Linked DNA regions of Elephas maximus indicus. The protein of the gene in region 2 interacts with the protein of the main gene of each other region in a pairwise test. Links are inferred from orthologs where the notes say so. Each region holds a gene or a part of one and is shown on either strand. Other genes may lie near its edges.

Region 1 (7,881 bases), on a different chromosome or scaffold from region 2:
GTACTCATTAACCATGCTCATTTTCTGTATTATTCCCAAGATACATGAAAATGAACTCTCTGGCCTGCCAAGACTTTCGGTGGTGGTCTAGAATTATCCTTTAAAAGCTAATTGCTCCTGTCTCTGAATACCATTAACTTACGCAGTTATTAAGATCTGCTAAAAGGCTTTACCTCTGAAGGATTTACTGGATCCAATTTTTAATCCCCCACCATTAGCACTCCGGCTAGGATTTCATATGACTTACAGTGGGCTCTCCTTTGCCTTCCAGATTGTTTCTGCCATCTGTGTCCAGACTGATCTCCTCACCTTCTCATCTTCCCTTTGACTGAAAATAAGGCTCACTGGTTACAAATTACTCAGACCTTTAACGCCTATCTAATAATTTCCATCATTTTTGAAATAACTGACCAGTTTCTCTTCCCAGTCTCCTTACTATCCCACAAAGATAAATACTCTTCCACCAGCACAGATTTGTTACCCTCACTGAGAAATTCTCACCATTCTTTACAGCTTAGTTTAGTTCACCTTCTCTATAAAATTTCCAGGGGCTACTCTCAATATGTATAAAAAAAACTGTGTGTAAAATAATTTAGTACGTAATTATACACTGTTACGTTATCACAAAACTTTGACCAGGGCACACTCTTCTACCCACATCTTGTGTAAATGCTGTAGTTCTTATTCTGGCCAAGCTAACTCTAAGACTGAATTATTGATGTTGCTTTGTGGGTCTTCAGAGCTATTACACTTTTTAACCATTATGATTTTGACATGAGTCATTAAATCAAGCACATTCAAAAAATTATAATGTTATTTTTTAATTACATTAAACCTGATGACCAATTTACAAACTTGTGCCTATAATATATTGCCTCTACTTTAATCCTTCTAACAAGTTGATAAAAGCACCATAACCAATCACACGTATACAGTGGTTCAACAGTTTTATGTGTTTTTGAATAGCTGCTTAAAGACAATCCTGAATTGCAACTTAGTGTTAGATGGTAAAGAATTTAAAATCCAACTTGCTACTATATCTCATCATGCTGACTTTTAAAAGGATCTGACCTTCTAGATCATCTACAGTATGTGAGAAGTGTTAGTCTTTACTTTTTTTTTTTAAATATTCTTTTTTGATATCATAAACAAACCACACTGCAATGCCTTTTCTTAATTAAAAGGCAACACTTTAGATACAGGGAATTTTAATTAGACTGACATAGTTATGAGCAAAACAATAAAGTGGCCATAACTAACTTATCTCCAACCCTTGTGTTTAAATAGGCTGATGACTACAAACTGAAATACAGTCTTGCTCTGTTCCATTAGACAGTGAAGAAGTTTCCCCACTATTTAAATATATCCATGTCACCAATTATATAAATCTAAATATAAAATTAATCTCTTATAGGTTGTGAGATGGCATTTACCATCTTTGTGAAAAATCGACCACTATTAATCCAATTTAGCCTCAAGTGCAAACACATCTTTAAAAGGGAAAAGGAATACCACTTGCTGAACTGAAATTACTATCAAAATTTAAAAAGTTAGATCGTATTTATTTAACCACAGCCAATCTTATTTACTCCAGGAATGCCCAACAAAAACATTCTATCAGCCATTCATGATCTGAATTCTGGTGTATGAGATCACTTTAAATACGGTACATGTAAAAAAAGTCAAGAGACATTACTATTGTAATAAATAAGGCAGTGGCCAACTATTACTCATTAGTAGCTTGCTTGAGATAAGCTATCAAGTCTGCCCTTTCTGCCTTCTTCTTAATGCCAGCAAAGATCATTTTTGTTCCAGGGATGTACTTCTTGGGATTCTCCAAATACTCCATCAGTGTGTCCTCTCCCCAGGTGATACCTATGCAAGGAGAGATTCACTGAGTAAATATTTCACATTCTTGATAAAGGGTTTACTGTAAGCTAAAGTCATGCAATTGTACTTTTGGTTATTAACAACCATACCCCTCTTACCTTTGTTCTTATTGGCATCCGTGTAAGAGAATCCAGGGGCTTGACCAGTCTTCCGCCCAAACAAGCCGTGCAGATTTGGCCCAGTCTTGTGCTTGCCTCCCTTTTCCACTGTGTGGCACTGGGAACATTTCTGAACAAAAATCTTCTTGCCCTTCTCGACATCACCCATTTTGAATTCTAAAAGTGAATGAAAGCTCCAAGTTAGTAATTCTTCCCCCAAGAAACAAATACAGTGGAAACCAATGACCACTCCAGTCACTTAATTATGAATCCATTGCTACTCTATGATGTTAAATACCAGGTTGAATCTTGTTTTACTTAGTACACTCCCAACAGGCTCTTTAATATCAAAACACTGTTTAGAAAAAAAAGACTCAAACACACACACTTCTGTATGTGTGTAAGGGATTTAAGATTAAAGCCCAAGTAAGCAAAATGAAACCCATTTCAAGCACCAGTTTCAAGATAGCAAGTCAAGGTCACAGAAGTATCACAATTCTGAATTAGGGGCAGGTGAGGGCTCTGCGAGGTTCCCCCCAGGGACATGCTCACCCTCCCAGCTCTGGGATCCCCGGGAGCCATCACGAGGTCACCCATACAGGCCGCTTTCAAGGAAACTAAGATGAAAACCGCCTTACTGCGATGCCTCAGCAGGTTAACGGGGGCAGCCACTACTGATCTGAAAAAATGATCCCTTACGAAAGGAAAAGCAGCTTTTATTTTCTTTGAAGGAAGACGAGAAGTGCCGCTGTCTCCCTACTCCTCCTCACCGGGGAGCAAGTCTTGCCTATTTTCAAGGTCCCTCGGCACCGAAAACGCGACGGCCTGCGTCTTCTTCGGATCCGCATTCAAGCCGCCTTCGGGCCTTCAAGGCTTTGGCCGAATCCCTGTTTCTACCTTGATGGGGTTCCGCTGCCATCCAGCCTGGCCCACTGGGTTCTGCCTGACCACAGCCCCGGGTCGTCACTCCAGGTCCTGCCTGCCCCACACGGGCTCCACCCGGCAGTCCCGGACGCGGACCTCTAGCCGCCCGCGCGCCCGCCACGTAGGTGTGTGCCCCTCACGGCTCAGCCTCCTACCCGCTGAGCCTTCCGGGGCCCCGTGCTTACCACTATCTCTTCGCGCGCAACTCGAAGGTCACCGCTCAAAAGCCGGACGTCCCGCTCTCTAACTCCAAGGACACGCCTGTCCGGGACTATGAACCGGTGTTGGTGCAACCAAACCCGCTACGCCCTCCCACGTCCCGGCGTGCGGCACGGCCAGCAGCTCCGGGGTGACGTCAGCGCGCCTGATTGGCTCCAGTCTACCCGGCTTGCCTCAGGGACTTGCGCGCGCCTGCCGGCTAGCAGGGTAGGCTGTGCCGCGTGAGTGCCCTATGTCTCGAGGCCTCACTTGCCTGGCCTTTACGACAGGCCATTGAACGTACGACGTAAAGGTTGTGCCGGAAGGGGCTGAAAAGGCGCACGTGGCTTTTGTGCGTATGCGTACATTGGTGCGGCTCGTGGAGCTGAGTCGCAGAGGTGGATCTGGGGCTAAGGAAACGGGTGTTCGGCACGTGACGCAATACGCTTTGAGGACAGTGTTTTGCCTTCTCAGAGGGAGCCGCCCCAACTTTGACTTACTTAGACGTCTCCTGGCTGCCATCCTTTAAGCTGGCGACCGTTACCCAGACTGGGTCATAGTTCCACAGCTGGCGCCAGCAGCACCTCAGACGGCGGGTCTGGAGCCAGAAGTTACACGATTTGGACATGATCCTGTGTCTGTTTTTTTCCACCTCCACGCTATTACTTTAAGTTATCTTCTTCCAAATCTTCCTTTGATGGTCGCCCCAAGACTAGGGAGGATGCTGTAATTGCGGCAGGGACAAGACTATAGCCCTGAACCCTCACCTGCAGGCTTTTCTACCAACTTCCTTTCCTCCAATTTGTGTGCGTTCCGTGGAGGGTGCGGGCAGCATCTAGGAAGAAACATTAATTTTAGATCATTAGAGGATTCTTGAAGAGCTCTGGTGGCACAGTGGTTAAAGTGCTCGGCTGCTGACCAACCAAAAGATTGGTAGTTTGACCTCACCAGCAGCTCTGCGGGAGGAAGATGTGACAGTCTGCTTTCCTAAAGATTGACAGCCTTGAAAACCCTATAACCCATTGCAGTGGAGTTGATTCTGACTCATAGCGACCCCATAGGACAGAGTAGAACTAACCCACATGGTTGCCAAGTCACGCCTGCTGTATTCCAAATGCCAGTCTTTTGATTAGCAGCCGTAGCTCTTACCCAGTAGCAGTTAAACTTCATCCTGAAGTGTCGCTATGAGTCAGAATTGACTCCAGGGCATCGGATTTGGTTTTGTATTTTAGAGGATTTTTGGAAATTTCCATCCTTTCTAGGTAAAGGTCATGTTAAAGTAAGCTAATGAGGTTGGGGCTATATTAGAAATGCAAGTTTGATCACCAGTACTGCTGCTGTCAGTGGAATCCCATTCATGGTGACGTCATATATATCCAGAGTACAACTGTGCATAAGGTTTTCTATGGCTGTTTTTCGAATTAAAAAAGTAAAATCCAGGCCTTTCTTTTAAGGCGTGTCTGGGTGGACTCGAGCTTCCAACCATTTAGTTAGCATCCAACCAAAGTAACCATTTACACCACTTGGAAACTCCACAGTTCCATAGCTCCCAGTCATACTTTTCCTCCAAAACTGGCTCCCCTTCCCAACGTGCTCAGTTCTGTCACTTGTGAGTTTCTTCTCAACTCCTCCCTTTCTCCTCAAATTCAGCTGCGAAGTTCTGATAAAATTTTCTCCTTTCCTATATTTAAAAAACTCTTTTACCATGGGGTCAATTCTGACTCATGACAACCCCATGTGTTTCAGAGTAGAATTGCATAGGGCTTTCAATGGTTGTGAATCCTGGTCTTGCAATGGTTAAGTGCTTGGCTACTAACTGAAATATCAGTGATTCGAACCCACCAGTGGCTCCACAGGAGAAAAGGCCTGGTATTCTGCTTCCATAAAGATTATAGCCTAGGAAACCCTATGGGGCAGTTCTACTCTGTCATATAGGATCAACTCAATGGCACAGAACAGTGATCTTACAGAAGTAGATCACTAGACCTTTCTTCCATGGTGTCGCTGGCTGGATTCAGACCACCAACCTTTTGGTTAGTAGTTGAGCGCAAACTGTTGGCACTGCATACTCTATATAGCACTGCCACATTCGTCCCATCAAGTGTTTATTGAATAGCATATTATGTGGTAGGCACTTGTCTAGGTTCCTGGAGTAAATCAGTGAGGACTTCTTCTCTAGTGGAGCTTACATTCTAAGATCTTTTCTCCCACTCCCAACTTAAGCAGTAGATAGTAGAAGGTTGACCTAGATTACCTTAGATCACTTCCAAACCACTGGTTTTATGATTTCTGCTCAGACTACTCATCCTTCTGTTTGACTGGATTATTTCTGTTGTTTTCTGTCTCCTGACTTCAATTCCCTCTCTGTAGTCTCTCACACTGCTGCCACAGTTTTCCTATAAATCCGAGCAGAAATCAAAACACTTAATTCAAGACCCTGTGGCTTTTGGAGGGGACCAAGATAGAGACCATTTCAAGAATAGATTTGATGCATTGAACACTAATAACTGAAGACCCGATGAGTTGTGAAATGACATCAAGGACATCACACATGAAGAAAGCAAAAGGTCATTAAAAAAAAACAGAAAAAAACAAAATGGATGTCAGAGGAGACTCTGAAAGTTGCACTTGAACATCCAGTGACTAAAGCAAAAGGAAGAAACAATGAAGTAAAAGAGCTGAACAGAAGATTTCAAGGGATGGCTCAATTGTTGTAGTTGTTGTTAGGTGCCGTCGAGTTAGTTCTGACTCACAGCAACCCTATGCACAACAGGATGAAACACTGCCTGGTCCTACACCGTCCTCACAATTGTTGTTATACTCGAGCCCATTGTTGCAGCCACTGTGTCAGTCCACCTTGTTGAGGGTCTTCCTCTTTTCCGCTGACCCTGTACTTTACCAAGCATGATGTCCTTCTCCAGGGACTGATCCCCCTTGACAGCATGTCCTAAGCATGTAAGGCACAGTATTGCCATCCTTGCTTCTAAGGAACATTCTGTTTGTACTTCCAAGACAGATTTGTTTGTTCTTTTGGCAGTCCGTGGGTGGCTTGGTAAGACAAAATAAAGTATTATAATGAAATGTGCAAAGACCTGGAGTTAGAAAACCAAAAGGGAAGAACATGCTTAGCACTTCTCAAGCTGAAAGGACTGAAGAGAAAATTAAAGCTTTTAGTTGAACTATTGAAGGATTCTAAGCAAAATATTGAACAACACAGGAAGCATCAAAAGAAGATGGAAGGAAAACACAGAGTCACTGTGCCAAAAAGAATGGATCAATGTTCACCCATTTCAGGAGGTAGCATATGATCAAGAATTGATGGTATTGAAAGAAGAATTCCAAGGTGCACTGAATGCAGTGGTGAAAAACAAGGCTTCAGGAATTGATGGACTACCAATTGAGAAGTTTCAACAAACAGATGCAACGCTGGAAATGCTCATTTGTCTTTGTCAAGAAATTTGAAAGACAGCTACCAGGCCATCCAACTGGAAGAAATCCATATTTGTGTCCATTCCAAAGAAAGGTGATCCTCCCAGAATGTGGAAATTATCAAACAATACCAGTAATATCTGTAAAAATGCCATGGTGGGGGCATCTGACCTCCACTAACTTCACAAGGGGGAGAGAATCATTAGCATCAATGACCCAAGGCTGATTCCTGTGAGGCAAGGGTGGGGTGGGGTTGGGGGTGGTCCTCCAGCCTTTTTAGCAATTCTGACACCAGCCGTCCTTCCCACAGCACTCTCTACTTCTTTGCTGGGTTCAGTATTTCATTGGAATGGCCACACAAAACTTACAGACCATACTAAAAGTTACATGAGGTTTATTAGGGTACTAACAGGTTACAATTCAGGATACAGTTCTTTGATCAGGACAGCCTCTTTCTCAGCTGTGCCCACATATTGGCCTCTGTCTGGTCCTTGACCTTATGACCCCTTGGGCCTTTTGGACTGGCCTGGCCTCTACCCTGCTCAGGCAAGTGTTACAAAGTCCTTTTAGCTCTGCTGGTGAGTGCCAAGAGGCACCCCACTGCACCAGGAAGCGTCCTGCCCAAAGGAGCTCAGCTCTCTCGCTCAGGGAGCTGGGAAGCTCACTGCATTGTCTCCTGCTGGTCTCATGGCTCTGCTGCTGCTGCTTCTCTGCCCCTGATTCTTGCCATCTTGCCATCTCTGGTGTTAGAGCTTATTCTGTCTGTCTCCTGGGTCTAGGAGGGTCTCAGTGCAGGACCCAAGTCCAAAAGACACGCTCTGCTCCAGTCTCTTCTTTTTTGGTGGCAGTCAAGTCCTCCTCTGCTGTGGAATTGGCTCTCTTTTAGGCCCAATGGGATGGCAAAACTGCCCAATCCCCATGTTAGGGTTCCATACACCTTATTTGCATGGACTCTAGGCCACAAGGTGGCCATGCACCTTATTTACATTATTAACAAGTTATCCAGTCTCATTCATGGGTCATAAGCACCTCATTTGCATAATCCCACCCAGTCATTTGGTGGCAGTTATAAAGACTATGGCTAGAAAGGCCATATCAAGTAATTCACTGCACCACAATGTTACATGCAAGTAAAATCTTGATGAAGATAATTAAAAAATGGTTGCAGCAGTACTTAGGGAACTGCCAGAAATTCAAGCCGGATTCAGAAGAGGATGTGGAGAGAGGGACATCATTGCTGATGTCAGGCGGATCTTGACTAAAAGCAGAGAATACCAGAAGGATGTTTACCTGTTTTGTTGACTATGCAAAGGCATTCAATGGTATAAATCATAACAAATTG
Region 2 (7,962 bases):
ACTTGGAAAAGTTAGAACAGATAACAAAGATATAATAAAGCACATGTCGTTAATTCAGTATTCCAAATTCCACCTAAAGAAATATAACTCATATTTCACAACAAACTTGACATTAATTCATCAAGTTTATCTGCTTTATAACATTCTTTATTTCAATGATTTTTCTGAAAATATCTTTTAAGGTAGAGAAAGTAATTTAATAGAAGATTTGTGGTAAGATCAACTCTACATAAAAAGGAGTTTATGAACAATGAAAAATAATAATCTGATGTAAATTTTGATGAAAGGCATTCATAAAAATCATTCCAAGTATAATTTTTTTCCTGCTAATCTACACTGCATAAACAGCGTAGCTTTCTTTCTCCCTCCAGACACAGGATAGCACCAGTGTCATCTATGCCATCCAGTATAGTTATCCTCCACCTTACTACTCACCCCATGGTTACTGCTACTATAGCTGCTCCCAGATAATGTGGAAGAGTTAAAAGGAGAAAAGGAGAAAGAGAACAAAAAGAATGAGCAGAGTGGCTGAGTGTGGGAGTGTGTGTGTGTGTATCTATTCCTGTTATATCACAGCGCCTTCCCCAAAGAATTTGAAGTGGTTTGTAAAATAACACCCAACCTAACACAGTTCTAGATATAAATAAGGAAAAAAGATCAAGACTTCTGTATATATTCCAAGGTGGGAATTTAGGAACGAGTAGAAGTGGTAAGCATCAATCTCATTATTTAGTATGTGCCGTTTGAGAAATGTATTATATAGACGTTGCAGAGATATTAGCAGTAGTTCTCAACCACTTTCTCAGCCTACCAGATGGCTACAATACGTAACTCCACCGAAGACTAATCTGTCCTTTCCATTTTAGGGCCACAGTACGTCTTTTTTTATACATCACAGACCAAAACTGAACGAAACCCATTGCCATTGAGTCGATTCTGACTCATAGGAACCCTATAGGACAGAGTAGAACTGCCGCATAGGGTTTCCAAGGAGCTGCTGGTAGATTTGAACTGCCGACTTTTTTGGTTAATAGCCGAACACCTAACCATTCTGCAACCAGGGATCCAATATCTAAATCTTATTTAAAATCAGAATACATAAAAAATTAGGAAACATTATGATGATAAAAGAAATCAAAGACCTATGAATGATTTTGATTCCTAAGAATATTCTTGATTATTTTTTATAAGTCTCTGAATTTTAAAAACTTCATCTGAAGTACAGTCACTTATACACATGGGTCACCATGAGTCAGTACTGAATCAACAGCGACAGGTTTGTTTTTTTTTAATGCAGGGAGGCACTTATTTAAAAAAAAAAAAGGAACTAAAAAATCCTAAATATTATTATAAAATTGAATAATCAGGAAAAACAAAAGGTTATCTTCATTTTGTACTATTAGCCGAAATGCACACATTCCCCTACCCACACATACCTGTGACTCAGTGCATTCTCTTTGCAAGTGATGATGCAAAGATGAATCAAGCAAAAAAACAGCATTTAGAGCATCAACCATCCTAACCCATCAGTCATGGATAAATATTAAAATGACAGTCGGGGTTTACCTACCTACGTAGAGAACACCCTCTTTTGTCTTTCCTGCTGCTTCTGCCACACCCTGTTTGGTCTTTTCAGCAGCAGCCACTACTCCTTCCTTGGCCTTTGAAAGTCCTTTCATGAATACATCCATGGCTAATGAATTCCTTTACACCACCCTGGAGAACACAAAATACACTTTGAATGAGAACTTTTTGGTAAAACAAAACAAAATTAAAAGCACCCAAGGTAAAAACCACTGAGAAATCAGTAGAAATCCCAAAAGTGTGAGACACAAACTTTTAAGTGTATCCTCATTCCGATGGCTGAACAAAACAACACTTCTTTAGATTTTGCTTTAAAAATTTAGCGTCCCTCATCCACCTTGCCAGTAAAAGTCTGGCTGCCTAACATGGATTAGGATGGATCATCAGGACTGTTTCTACTGCATTTTGCAAGTGGAGTAGCATGAAAGGATGGACCCCTCTTCCAACTTCCTAGGATCCAACTCGTGACAGTTTAAGTTAGATGCATGTTTAGAAGAAAACCACAAGAAAAGAAAAGAAAAGGAGTTGTAGGTGTGCATTCAGAGGCATCCTAGAAATGAATCCCAGAATAGGACTGAAAGCTTGATCTTGGTGGAAAGAGGCGGGAAGAGAACTACCCACCCCCCACACCGGGTGTGGCTGTACCTCTGGACAGAAGCAGGCTTCCAGCCCTCCTAATCCACTGGACCATCCACCCCACTCTCTGCTATCTATCCAGTGCAGGCGCTGTTCACACCGGCTGGTGGTCTCCAGATTAGCGCCACCCGAGGGGCAGTTCTCCGCCCTAACCGGCCAGGGGACCCCGTGTCCAGTGGTGAAGGCTGGGCCTGCACCTGTTAACCCTTTAACACATGTCGACTTGTTCTTCTGGCACTTCCGTTTAATTTTTTTTTGCAAAATGCAGCTTGCTTACATTACAGGGAAAACAGAGAGGGTGGAGTGGAGGATTTAGGTAAGGGAGTAATAAAAGTTGGAAATTCATCCGTCCATTGAGCATTCTCGCCTTTCCCAAAGGAAAAGCGTATCCGGAGAATCAGCCTGATCTCTCAGCCTTTGGGGTGGGTAAGGAGAATATGGGAATCAGGTGGAAAGCCAAATCCACTTACTTTCCTCCAGCTCACCAAAAGCACAAATAACCACCGCCAAGAGACTTGGCACAGCCTGTCCTGACCGCAGCAGCAACCCCCCCGCCCTCCACCCCCAGGCGTCCTCATCTCCCACCAGATTTTCTCCAAGATTTCCAAAGCTCCTTGCCCCTTTAGCTCCACAGGTACTTACCTGAGCCCCTCTGCTCCTCCGAAACTCTGTTTCCTCCCCCTCTTTTTAAATTTAAGCAAATGTTATTGAAATGAGAACTGGGAGGAGAGAAGTGCCCAGGAAGGGCGGAGCAGCTCCAGGAGAGGGAGGGTCCCCCAAAGGAGGCTGCTGTCAGCACAACCTGGCGACGAGAGGCTGGGGACGTGGGAGGCGAACCCGCGAACCTGTCGTCAAATTACCACTCCCCGTCCCCCGCACAAGAGGATCCAAGAGAAAGACAAGGTCGGAAGGGAAGGCGGCGAGAGCTGGAGAAGGATGCTAAGGCGGGGCTGGGTCCCGAGGTCCGCTCTAAAGACAGCACACACCTCACTGTCCCGCCTCGCCTTTCACGGTCGCTCGCCCCCTCTCTCCGGCCCCCTTCAGGTCGTCGTGGTCTTGCTCCTCCTGCTCTTCTTCCTCCTTCTTCTGCGCTCACCGCCCCCTCAGCTGATTTGTCAGCGCCTCTCCCCGCCCCACTCCAGGCGCCCTCTGCTTTCCTTGCCTCGTGCGCTTCGCTCGTTTTCCTGGATGGAGGGTGGAGGGACGGAAGGGGGTGTCTTTCCAACTCCAGTCTCCCGCCTGGTCCTGGAGGCAGGAAGGTGGAATGTTCGGCGTGTCACCTCAAGTTCAGGGTCACGGGGGAGTCCTGTGGCGAGCGTGAGCGGTTAGGCTTTGGCTGATGTCTCTCCTGCTTTCCCACAGCCTCTCTTTCCTTGTCTCCTCCTTTCGCTCTGGTTCTTCGTGAGGACCCCTAGTCAGCGCCAACCCCTGGGAGCCAGAAGCAATCTCTCGAGGAGCTGCTGAAGGACTCAGATAGATTAGGATGGTGCTCATATACGTACCGACAAGAGCACATTTCTCTCCGATCGCTTAAATTTGGTAAACGGTCGCAGAATACAAAGTCAGAGGTCGATTTTGTTCAAATATCCTCCATCCTAACCTCGGATGAGTCCGAAAATGTCCTGCAGGTGGAGAGGAGACTAGTAAGGAAGAGTTACAGGTTGATGAGGCAGGAGGAAGCTCGACAAATCCTCTTCCCACCCCACTGTCACCATTTTCTTTTCCACCAATCAGAGGATGCCAGACGCCGGTTTTTTTCCCCATCTGTGGAATAAATATTCCCCAGCCGTCGAAAACAAGCAGTCAGTCTAAGGTTTTTCGCTCTCTAAATGGAATTTACTTTCCAGACCACCAAGCACCTGGATGAAGGAGACAAATCCAGTCTGGTTTTTCCCCCTGAACGATGATTCCAATTTCCCTTCGGCTGCTTGTAAGACCGAGACTCAGAAGCACTCAACTCATCTTTCTAACTTCAGATTCACTCTGCCCTCGAAGTTGACACTGAACCTCCCCTAGCCCCCTCTGGACAGACAGACGGACCGACAGACAGTCAGACACACACACACACGAACGCACGTGCTCGAGTTTCAAAACGTCTTTTTTTTTTTTTTTTTTTGCATCGCTTAACACATTTTCACCTCTTTCAGAGCTTGGGAGGAAACAGATGTTCCTGGATCGGACCAGAATAGAGAATCAAGCTCCTCCCTCTAGCAGAAGGCCTTTGCTTTCTTTTGCCTGGATTAGGAGAATGATTTCACAGCTTGAAGGAAAAAACAAGTCTTTGCTGTATGGCTTTTTGTTTGTTTATTTGTTTTATTTATTAAAGATGTTTTCGAGGATATATATATATAGGTGGACAGTGCAAATCCACCAGCCGCTCCTTGGAAACCCTAAGGGGCAGTTCTCCTCTTTCCTACACGGTCCCAATGGGTATACATACATACATATACATTTAAAAAAAATTTTTTTATGTGTCTACATATATATATTCAGTAGAAAAAAGTAGAGAGTGAAACTGAGGTCATAAATATTTATTGCTTAAATACCTCCTTGCACTATTGTTTTATCTTTTTTTTAAAGCAGGCTTTCCAAAAACAGTAGCTCATAATTTGTTTCCTTGGGATCAGAGAAAGAAGGTTGAACCTGGGAACTGGTTAAACCTTAAACAATTATTTTCTGCTTCTGTTCCCCGATGACTCTTTGGTAAATGAGAAAATGAACCCAAAAGATTCTGTTCTTTTCAATTTATTATTACGGAAAATGTTCAAACATATACAAAAGTAGAGTAGACTAAAGGACCCTCATGTGAATACCACACAACTTCCACATTTATACGCCTACACATGTTGTCACAAAGCTCCCTCTATTTGTAAGTAAATCCCAGATACTACAAGCATCTTTTCATCTGTAAATACTTCCACATACATCCATAAGGTGTAAGAACTACTTTAAAACAAGCACAATAGCATTTAGGTGATTTTTAAAATTTAAGTATAATTTAAATACAGTGAAAAGTGTCTCTTTAAATCAGCTCTGAAAAATTCATGTATTAGTATAACCCACAACATTCTGAAGACACAGAGCATTGCCATCACTCCAGAATGTTCCCTTGTGCCCTTTCTTATTTGTGCCTATGCTTGGATTTCATTACACAAAATCATAGAGTATGAGCTTTCCTTGTACCTGTCTGACTTCTCTCACTCAGCGTATTTGTGAGGTTTGTTCCTACTCAGTTGTTGCACGCGTCAGTAGTGTTTCTTATTGCTTTCCATTGCTTCTTTTTATTGTTGCCAATAATAAATGCTTTCCACTGTGACCTATCACAGCTGGAGCTGGCTCCCTTAAATATTATGATAATTATTTAATGTATTATTTCATAGGATTTCTTTATAAGTTAACAGGGACGTTCTTGAGACTCGGTGCCTTAAATCAAAGGGGTAACTAAAATGACAGCTATTTTAGGTCCCACAGCAGACCAATGGGAGATTTATTTTGGGGTAGTGGTTGTTTTTTTGCTTTTCATAAAATAACATGATTCCACACCTTTATATGGTACTTCATGCTCTGCAAAGGACTTTTGCCTGAATACACCACCATTTTTATCCATTCTTCCATGTTCATGTACTTTCTGGTTTTTTCCAGCTTGAGGCTGTTTAGAAAAATCAAATTAATCTCAGGTCAATTTTTTTATCAGTTCTGTTCCCCTCCATTCCACTTTTGTTCTGATACCAGCTACACATGCAGCATTTCCTCCTCGGACCCTAACCACCTGGATTTAGGTCAGACCTCACAAGTTATAGGGCACTGTTCTCCAGACTTCCAAGTCTGCCCAAGATTTTAGATGCCAGCTGCAAGCTTGGGAGTCCCCAGTGGCCCCCCCATCTTTTCTGACCTGCTATGTACAAATTCAGGGGTTCCCTTTACCCCTTCAGAATACCAGCCATAAGCTCAGGATTCCCAAGTCCCTTCGCTTCTGACTTAGTTTCTCCTAACTCAGATTCCATAATTTGCTAGAACAACTCATAGAACTCATGGAAAGCGTTATACTTGTATTACAGTTGTATTACAAGAAAAAGATACAAATAAAGAGATGCATAGGGTGAGGTCTGGGAGGGTTCTCAACTCGGAGCTTCCATGTCCCAAAAAGGGACTCACTATTCTCCCAAGTGTATTGACATCTTTCACCAATTAGGCAGTCACTGGAGCTGCCAAGTCCAGCATCAATTTTGGGACCTCAGTTAGTATGCATGATTGATTGATTCATGCCCTACCTCCGTAAAGTTGGCTGCTATCACGTGGTGGTCTTTCTAGCCTGTCTAGGTACCACCTGAGTCACCTCTTTAGCATAACTTGTCGGGTCTGGAGTTCTCTTCGATAAGAAAGATACTTCAATAACTGGAGAAATCCCAAGATTCTAGAGGTTATCTGTCAGGAACCAGAAAAAAAAAAAAAACCCAATGCCATCGAGTCGATTCCGACTCATAGCGACTCATAGGAACCAGAAAAAGATCAAATTATTTGAATGAAGTTAATGGAAACCTCAGTGGGGCTTGTCATGGATTGAATTGCATCTCCCCCAAAAATATATATCAACTTGGTGAGGCCATGATTTCCAGTACTGTGTGGTTGTCCTCCATTTTGTGATTGTAATTTTATGTTGAGAAGATTAGGGTGGGATTGTAACACCACTCTTACTCAGGTCACCTCCCTGATCCAAGGTAAAGGGAGTTTCCCTAGGGTGTGGCCTGCACCACGTTTTATCTCTCAAGAGATAAAAGGAAAGGGAAGCAAGCAGACAGTTGGAGACCTCGTACCACCAAGAGAGCAGCACCAGGAGCAGAGCGCATCCTTTGGATCCAAGGTCCCTGCGCCTGAGAAGCTCCTTGGCCAGGGGAAGTTTGAGGACAAGGACTCTTCCTCCAGAGCTGACAGAGAGAGAAAGCCTTCCCCTGGGGCCGACCCCCTGAATTTGGACTTGTAATCTACTAGACTGTGAGAAAATAAATTTCCCTTTGTTAAAGCCATCCACTTGTGGTATTTCTGTTATGGCAGCACTAGATAATTAAGACAGGGCTGTTACGAATAAAGTTGCTCTGAACATTCTTCTGCAAGTCTTTTTACTCTTGTTGTTGCTAGGTGCCATCAAGTTGGGTCCAATTCATAGTGACTGTATGTAAAACAGAGTGGAATAGAGCCTGGTCCTGTGACATCCTCACAGTCATTGCTATGTTTGATGCCATTGTTGCACCCACCATGTCAACTCATCTCATTGAAGGTCTTCCTCTACTTTACCAAACATGATGTCCTTCTCCAGGGTCTGGTCCCTCCTGATAACATGTCCAAAGTACATGAGATAAAGTCTCTCCATTCTCACTTTTAAGGAACATTCTATTCTGGCTGTAGTTCTTCCAAGACAGATTCGTTGATTCTTCTGGTAGTCGATGGTATATTCAATATTCTTTTTGTATGTGTATGTGTGTATACATATCTATAAAGTTCTCTTCAATAAATCTCGAGGAGTATAATTGCTATGGTAGGTGTTTGTTTAAGAAACTGTCAAATTGTTTACCAGTGTGGTTGTACCATTTTACGTTCATACAGCAATGAGTAAGAGTTCTGGTTGCTATATCCTCTCCAATATCTGAAGTTGTAAATATTTTTCATTTTTACACGTTCTAGTAGTTGTATAGTGGTATCTCATTATGGCATCTCAGTAAAATTTCTAGTTCAACGGTATCTCAG

The links. The genes of interacting proteins can lie anywhere in the genome.
Region 1: the proteins of SNCA (region 2) and cytochrome c interact in binary tests that used the Homo sapiens proteins (3 or more experiments, as listed by UniProt). The link is inferred for Elephas maximus indicus from reciprocal best matches to the Homo sapiens genes SNCA and CYCS.

The regions. Positions count from the first base shown.
Region 1 is NC_064826.1:86,186,694-86,194,574, forward strand, and holds cytochrome c, read right to left. Parts: upstream 3,232-7,881; 5' UTR 3,098-3,231; intron 2,166-3,097; 5' UTR 2,158-2,165; coding exon 1,989-2,157; intron 1,876-1,988; coding exon 1,727-1,875; 3' UTR 819-1,726; downstream 1-818. UniProt on the Homo sapiens protein: Electron carrier protein. The oxidized form of the cytochrome c heme group can accept an electron from the heme group of the cytochrome c1 subunit of cytochrome reductase.
Region 2 is NC_064823.1:65,340,096-65,348,057, reverse strand, and holds the start of SNCA (alpha-synuclein), read right to left. Parts: upstream 3,294-7,962; 5' UTR 3,207-3,293; intron 3,180-3,206; exon of another isoform or gene 2,863-3,179; intron 1,717-2,862; 5' UTR 1,692-1,716; coding exon 1,571-1,691; intron 1-1,570. UniProt on the Homo sapiens protein: Neuronal protein that plays several roles in synaptic activity such as regulation of synaptic vesicle trafficking and subsequent neurotransmitter release.